Linked DNA regions of Coturnix japonica. Each later gene encodes a partner of the first gene's protein in a complex. Links are inferred from orthologs where the notes say so. Each region holds a gene or a part of one and is shown on either strand. Other genes may lie near its edges. The genes, in order: FLCN and LAMTOR2.

Evidence for each region.
Region 2: FLCN (region 1) and LAMTOR2 share a complex: the UniProt entries of both Homo sapiens proteins name them as parts of the lysosomal folliculin complex. The link is inferred for Coturnix japonica from reciprocal best matches to the Homo sapiens genes FLCN and LAMTOR2.

What each region holds. Positions count from the first base shown.
Region 1 is NC_029529.1:4,765,524-4,769,889, reverse strand, and holds the start of FLCN (folliculin), read left to right. Parts: upstream 1-1,448; 5' UTR 1,449-1,714; intron 1,715-2,382; 5' UTR 2,383-2,413; coding exon 2,414-2,662; intron 2,663-3,424; coding exon 3,425-3,571; intron 3,572-4,071; coding exon 4,072-4,293; intron 4,294-4,366. UniProt on the Homo sapiens protein: Multi-functional protein, involved in both the cellular response to amino acid availability and in the regulation of glycolysis.
Region 2 is NC_029540.1:79,189-82,764, forward strand, and holds LAMTOR2 (ragulator complex protein LAMTOR2), read left to right. Parts: upstream 1-1,652; 5' UTR 1,653-1,776; coding exon 1,777-1,844; intron 1,845-1,958; coding exon 1,959-2,121; intron 2,122-2,513; coding exon 2,514-2,603; intron 2,604-2,841; coding exon 2,842-2,898; 3' UTR 2,899-3,040; downstream 3,041-3,576. Other genes in the region: UBQLN4 (ubiquilin-4), read right to left, coding at 1,405-1,548; RAB25 (ras-related protein Rab-25), read left to right, coding at 3,576-3,576. UniProt on the Homo sapiens protein: As part of the Ragulator complex it is involved in amino acid sensing and activation of mTORC1, a signaling complex promoting cell growth in response to growth factors, energy levels, and amino acids.

The DNA.
Region 1 (4,366 bases):
CTGCAGTAGCTGAGCTTTTTGTATTGCTGGTTCCTATTAGTAAGCACGAACGTTCTGCTGAGGGCTGAATGCCCTTATGTCTGTGGAATTACAAGCAAATTAATAGACGTACCTGGCAAATAGAAGCTGTGTTTGCTTTGTTTCTTTTCCTGACATAGATAAAATAAACCTATACTGCACATCAGGAGGGCTGGCAGACAGATCTGTGTAGTATTTTCAAACAATATATCGCACTATTGTTCTTGATCTGCTTTTTAAGGAGGCACTTTGTTACTTGCTGGTGGAAAATCTGAAGTCAGGTCCCAAAGTCTGAAGTATTCACCAAAAGTGCTTTGGGAAAAGGCTTTTGAGCAATGGTTTGACTAAATGCTTCAGGTCTGGCATCTGCATGTCCTGAGATACTGATGAAACCAAGTCAGAGCTTTTAAATGAAGAAGCTCCTTCAAGTCTTGGAACTAACTGCATGGGGCTGCGGTGAGCTGAGACGCATTGAGAACACTTGAGCTTTCTGCTTTTAATTTGTATTTATTGCAAGGAAGGACTGTAGATCCAAACGTAACAACACTGTGTGCTCTGCTGCTCTGAGCATGCTTTGATATCTGCTATCATGCTTTGATATCTGCTATCATGCTTTGATATCTGCTATCATGCTTTGATATCATAGTTCAATGCGCCATCATTTGCAAAGAGAAAGTGCAGCTCTGGAGGGAGCCCTTGTCTTGCAACTACAGCTCTTAGCCACAGGAGGGGTCTCTACTTCACTCTTAGCTGGTAATATAACGATGCAGAGGTTTTTTTGGTTGTTTTTAAAGAAAAAAAGGCTGGAATCCGTGTAGCAGCCCCCCTTGTATGTCTGTGCCACATGGGAGCCGTGCGTACTGCCCCTTGTGAACATCCATAGTGCTGCCATCGCACCAAGTGCTTCTGCATAACCCAGGTTGCCTTGTAGGCAACACTTGTACTTGGAGGCACTTCTGGGCAGTACAACTGCGCCCCACCGTGTGTGTTGTGTTGTGTAACGTAGGAGATGTTTCTGCATGGCCACAGCAGCCGACGAGGTTCGTCCTGAGCAGTTGTTTCAATGTACTATTGGAAAATAAAGGTCACAAACCAGCCCGCTCTTAGTTTGTCTTTAAATGCTTGGCCTGAAGGAACGAGATGGTAGAGCTTTGGTGTTTGCCTTCATCTCTAGGTGTTGTTCTTTATTGGGGGGTGCTTTTGTTCTTATTGTGCTGCTGTCCTTGCCCAGCACTGGCTCTGAGGTTACATGGAAATTGAATCAGGCCTTTGCTGCAAGTGGTGGTGCTGTATTAATTAGCGGTGCTGTATTAATTAGCAGCGCTGCTGGCTGCCTTTAATCGCCCCGTCTCGTCTCACCCCCCCGCGCTCCCAGCAGTGGTTGCTCCCAGTCCCGTGACTGGGCGGCTGCGGGTCGCGGTCATTGCCGCTGCCGCGGGGGGGGAGGAGTGCGCCGGGAGCTGTGTGTGGAGGCGGGCAGCCCCCTGCTGTCCGGCCACCAGCTGCATCCCCGTCCCGATCCCTCTGCAGCCTCATCCCGCTCCTCGCCGCTCCTTGGGCGGCTGATCAGCGGGGAGCTGCCTGCCCGCATCCCCAGCACCCCCCCCCCGCGGCCCGGTAGGATGGTACGGCCCGGCGGTCAGCGTGTGTCAGCTGCCCGCAGCCACGGGACGGGCCGGGGCGGGAGCCCGGAGCGGTGAGAGGACGGGAACGGGGCTGGGGGAGCGGGGGGTGGGCCGGGCAGTGGGGGAGCGGGCACTGAGCGGGACCGGGACCGGGACCGACCGTGTGGCTGCGTGGGGACCGGGGGTGGACACACAGCGCCGGGCCGGGCCTGTAGGATGCAGCGTTAGAACGGGGGGAAACGGCTTCGGGCTGAAAGGGGACGGTTAGATTAGATACGAGGGGAAATGCTTCGTACTGAGGGCGGTGAGGAGCCGCCGTGTGCCCGCCATGGAGCTGTCCCAGGCCGTAGTTGGGCCCTGGGCAGGCAGCACACGGCACGGGTGGGGCTGGTGGCCTCTGAGGGCCCTTCTCTGTGCTGTGCCATCGGTTTGGCTGAGAAACGCTTGCATGGAGATCCTTAAGGATGGCTGACACAGCACTGGGCCGGCACAGCCCCATCCTGACACGGTCTGAGGTGCCCAGGTGCTGAGTGATTGTGCTGCTCTGGGCCTGTCCTGTGAAGGTATGAGCACAGCCCAGGGTGGAACTGTGCTGGACACCCCAACTGAGCAGCTCTTGGAAAGACACAGATCAGCATTCACACCTGACAGGCCCATGGGGTGTTGTAACAGCAATTCTAACAGCAGTTCTTGTGCCAGTTTGTATATTGATGCTATGTGTTTTTTCACTCACCTGCAGGAGACCCTGACGGATGTGCTGAGCTCTCGCTATGAATGCTATTGTTGCTCTCTGCCATTTTTGTGAGCTCCACGGTCCCCGCACCCTCTTTTGCACTGAGGTTCTACATTCACCGCTTCCTCAAGGTGCCAGCAGCGGGGATATCACTGGGCAGAATGAGCAGGCGGAAGAGGAGGAAGGCGGCATCCAGATGAGCAGCAGGATCCGCTCGCACAGCCCAGCTGAAGGTGCCAGCGCTGATTCCAGCAGCCCAGGGCCAAAGAAGTCAGACATGTGTGAGGTAAGTGTGAATAGCTGTACACAGAACATCAGTGTTTCTTTGCTTGACTAAAGGGCTCTTGGGTTATCTGATGAACACATGAACTACCCCTGTGCTTTCATATAACTGACAGTACTAAAAAAGTCCTTATAAACTGCAGTGACCCACAACAGAAGTTGAAGGAAATGTTATTAAGCAAACTGACAAAGCAAGTTTCTCTGTTAAGGTCTTTTTAAGCCCTGCGTGTGATTTTCATGTGTCTGAGAGACGCTTCCCTTGGCCTCCAAAGGTTTCTGCTTCATTAGACCAGGTTCTACCATTGATTAATAGCAATATTTAGCAGCAACATCAAATAGGGAACAGGAAAAAAAAAACCAAAACCAACCTTAAAGCTCCTAAAACTAGAGAAAAAACTGTGTTTTTAGTTTTTCCTTTGTGTGGCTACTATTAGCACTTGATCTGAGCTACTTGTTATTTACTTGCCTTTAGGTTATGGCCAGTGCTTTTGTTGGCCAGTTGCTTTCACAGGTGCTATGAACTGACTTGTACTGCTTGCAGAGCCATCACCATCAAATGCACAATCAAATTCAGCAGTGGAAAACTGGCATAGAAAGGATCTGAGTTTAAGTGCTCACCCTGACTCAAACTGCTTGCATTCTGAATACTTGAGTTTATATGTGTAAATAATGCTACCCTACGTTTAGAAGGGAAAACGCAAAGGCAGCTGGAAACCTTTGAAATCTGCATGTTCGTTTATGCTTGGATTTGCTTTTCTGTCTTCAGGGTTGCCGCTCTCTTGCAGGAGGACATCCTGGGTTTGTCAGCCACGACAAGGAGACTTCGATCAAGTATGTCAGTCACCAGCACCCAAACCACCCCCAGCTGTTCAGCATTGTGCGCCAGGCCTGCGTTCGCAGTCTGAGTTGTGAGGTAACTCTTTAGGAGTACAGGAAGAAATCCTGCTTAGGGCCTTACCTTGGGGATGCTTTTCCTCTTGACTTCTGAGATGTGAAAGTTCTCTTATTTTCACTCCTGTGCATTTATTGTTTGTGTTTTTAATATAAACTGATAAATTATTTGTGTAAAAATGTTGGCATCTATTGCTTTGTATTGAGAAATAATTGGTCTTTATAAACTGCTGACGTTCAGTGTCTCATATAAATGGAGAGCTTTACAGACTAGTGTTTGTGTGCCAGCATCAGGAATTCCTTGTGATTTCTCCACAGTGTTGTAGCTGAACTGAGCAAAATCTGTAAAATAAAGATAAATTGAAGGCTTTATTATGTTTGTTTGACCACAGGTTTTAGATAGCAGCCTTAAAAAAAATTGTTTTATTCATCAGATGTCTGTTAAATAGCAGCAAGCTTTTGTTATACAGTTCATTGCTCTTCCAGCTGAGCTTCTTTGGTCTGTATGTCCCCCCCATTCAGGTCTGCCCAGGACGTGAAGGGCCTATATTTTTTGGAGATGAACAGCATGGTTTTGTGTTCAGCCACACCTTCTTTATCAAAGACAGCCTGGCCCGAGGCTTCCAGCGCTGGTACAGCATCATCACTATCATGATGGACCGGATTTACCTCATCAACTCATGGCCTTTCTTGCTGGGAAAAATCAGAGGCATCATCGATGAACTTCAGGGCAAAGCACTTAAGGTGGGTCAGTGAGTGAGTCCTTTTGGCTCAGCATTATAGAATCATAGAATCACCAAGGTTGGAAAAGACCTAA
Region 2 (3,576 bases), on another chromosome or scaffold:
ATCAGCCAATGGATGTAAACTAGGTCTTCTATTCCTGTGACTATCCACAGCACCCACTGCCAACATCTCTGCTGTGTGATGGGGAGGGACCAGCACCTGCCAATAAGATTGTCACCGCCAGCTCAGCTGGGGCGTCCCCGAGTCAATAGGTGAGAATAGAAACCTTTGCATTTGGAAGCCACAGAGTTCAGGAAATCCACATGGAAAGGCTGGGAGCAGAAGATCACAGCTTTCCTGGGGCAGCTCGCTGCCATGGTCCAGAACTCCCGAAAAACTGGGCCTGGGAGGACGGACCCCTGGCACTGAAGTGACCCAGGGCGTGAAGCTTCACCCGCTGCTCTGCACGCTGACAGCACAGGGCTGGGAAGCAGCAGGGCCACGCACAGCACACAGCTCCTGCCCAGCTCCCAGCACACGCTGCAACCTCGTGCCCTGAAGCCCACATCAAAGTACACAGCAAAACACACACACAGCCAAGATCCACAGCACTGACACCACTCTGCCCCGGCGGGCACTGCCACCTGCACAACGCTTCTTGTGAACCCTCTGCTGCCCTGCAAACACACAGTGCCCCTGTGGAGCTCCCTGCTCACAGCAAACCCACATGTCTGACGTCCCCTTCCCTCTGCTTCACTCTCCCTCTGCCCCAAAGGCAGAAATGAAAGGTCTGAGAAGGACGGACAGAGCAGCCTCTGGCCTCAGCCCCACCGCACACATCCACTGCCCCACAGCTCCCCGCAGCCCAGCCCCAGGGCCGCGTCCCATCACAGCACCCACCCGCTGCCTCTCAGCTCCCCAAGCTGCAGCTCCCGCTGCTCTTCCAGCAGCTCCTGCCAGCCCCGGAGCCGCGCCCCCATGTGCCCTGACCTGAGGCATCTCCGGGCCCTAAGGGAGAAGATCCCTGATCCCTCCAGGCCCAGCCGCCCCACGCAGCGCCTCCCCGCTGTCCCACAACACCCCCACTACCAGCAGCACAACCCCCGGGCCGTGCCCCTCACACCCCCCCCAGCCCGCAGACCCCTCCCGGCCCCCCCTTCCCGTTCCCACCGGCACATCCCGCCCCCCCCTCCCGCACCGCCCCGACAACGCCCCGTTCTCGCCCCCCGGCGGGTTCCAGCCCCTCGGCTCCCGCACAACACACGCCGTCACTCCGCTGCAGCCCAACCCCGGCCCCACGCCCCCCATGGCCGGGGAGGCCCCAGCTCCGCTCAGCCCAGCTCCGCTCCCGCCCCTCACAACCTTCCCCCCCCCGGCTCCTCACACCCCCGAGGTTCCTCCCTCCAATTCTCGCCCAACCCCTCCCGCCACCTTCCCGCTCCGCACCCTCCTCGGTCTCGCGGCCCGTGTCTCCCGCGGCCCCTCGCAGCGCTCAGGCCTAGGCCCCGTCCTCCGTCCCGTCCCCACCTCGCGCACGGAGGCGCCGTCGGCGATGACGATCTCCTCCTTGTCCTTGGGGGTCTTCACCGTGACGCGGATGAGCGCCCCGCCGGGACCTCCCAGCTCCGACCCGCCGGGGCCCGGCCCGCCGCCGCCACTCGGCTCCGCCATCTTCGCCGCCCGCCCCGCCAGCCCTGGCCGACAGAGAAAGGCCGGGACAGAGCGCCGCCACGGCCCGCGCCGCAGCACAGCGCCCCCTGGCGGCGGGGAGGATCGAGAGGCGACGGAACCGGAACCGGAACGGAGCGCGGAACCGCCCCGAACGGAACCGAACGGCAGCAAACACCGAACGGGGGCGGCCTACACCGGGAACGGGCCCCGCGCCCCGCGCTGCCTGCCATGCTGCGGCCCAAAGCGCTGACGCAGGTGCTGAGCCAGGCCAACACCGGCGGCGTCCAGAGCACGTTGTGAGCGGGGACGGGGCCGGGGGCGGTGCGACCGTACGGTCATTGCGGTGTGATGTGACCGTACCGTCACGGCGGGGCTCGGCCCGGAGCTGACCGTTCCCCGCTCCGTTGCAGGCTGCTGAACAATGAGGGCTCGCTCTTGGCCTACTCGGGATACGGAGACACGGACGCCCGCGTGACCGCGGCCATCGCCAGCAACATCTGGGTGGCCTACGACAAGAACGGGCACCACGCGTTCAACGAGGACAACCTGCGCTTCATCCTCATGGACTGCATGGTACGGAACGGCTGCGGGACCCCACGGGATCCATGCGGGACCCCCGGTGTGCGGGACCCACAGCAGCACCCACAGTGGGATCCGAGGTGTTCAGCAGCAGCTTCTGTGTGGGAGCCCAAGGGGTCCGTGTGAACCCCATAAATCTCAATGTGACCCCATAAATCTCAGTGTGACCCCATAAATCCCAATGTGACCCCATAAATCTCAGTGTGACCCCATAAATCTCAGTGTGACCCCATAAATCTCAGTGTGACCCCATAAATCCCAATGTGACCCCATAAATCTCAATGTGACCCCATAAATCCCACTGTGACCCCATAAATCCCACTGTGACCCCATAAATCCCGCTGTGACCCCCTGAATCTCCGTGTGACCCCGGTTCTCTCCGGCAGGAGGGGCGCGTGGCCATCACCCGCGTGGCGAACCTCCTGCTGTGCATGTACGCCAAGGAGACGGTGGGATTTGGGATGCTGAAAGCCAAGGTGAGGGGATGGGGGTGAGGGGATGGGGGTGAGGGGGTGGGGGGCTGCATTACGGTGAGGTGTGAAAGAGCCACGGGGTTAAAGCCGGGAGGAAGAGGATGGGAGAGATGGGGGAGGAATTGCAATCAAAATGGGAACTGTCTGCGTGGGTCCCAGATTGGTGCTGGGGTGGGACGGGGGTTTGCCCACAGAATGTGGGCGCTGGGGGCTGCACCCCTCACCACCATCCCTGCCCCAGGCACAGGCGCTGGTGCAATACCTGGAGGAGCCGCTGACGCAGGTGGCCGCATCCTGAGCTGCATCTGAGCTGCATCCTGAGCATGGAACCGCGCTGCCACGGCTGAGAGCAGCGCCTGCACGGGGGGAACCGTGTTGTGAGCCCGGCTGTGCTGCTGGGCAGCAGGGGAGGGGAAATAAAGCCACGTGTGGTGCTCGTGTCCTGAGTGTCTGTCAGATCAGTGCAGGGTGGAAGGGTGGGACGGGGTCAGCCGTGCACCCAGCCAGGGGTCTGTGGTGCAGCTGGGAGCGTTGTGCTGTCCCTGCTGGGGCTGCTTCCCCCACGTTCCCATCTCTCTGTGCTGGCAGCAGAGGTGCAGGCGGCCGTTGGTGCCCGGCCAGCTCCATGCTGAGCCCAGGGCCCCAGTGCCCCAGGCTGCCCCGCGCCGCGTGGCCTTGGCAGCCAGGACCGGGCCCGGCTCCTCCTCCAGGTGCCCCGTGACGGTTCCAGGGGTGACATTACCTGCCCAACCTGCGCTGCCGCTCCCAGCCTGCACTCAGCCGCCCTGGGCCTCCCTGCGCCGCCCGCGTCGCCTTCACTCCCCGACCGCGCTCCCTCCTGGGACCCCCCTCACTGCTGGGACCCCCCTCACACCCCGACACAGAGGAGACTTTGCCCCCCTCACCACCCCCTGCAGCCCGCCCCGCTCTGAGCTCTGCGGAGGGAAGGAGGAAACCGGGCGGCAGCCGGGAGATA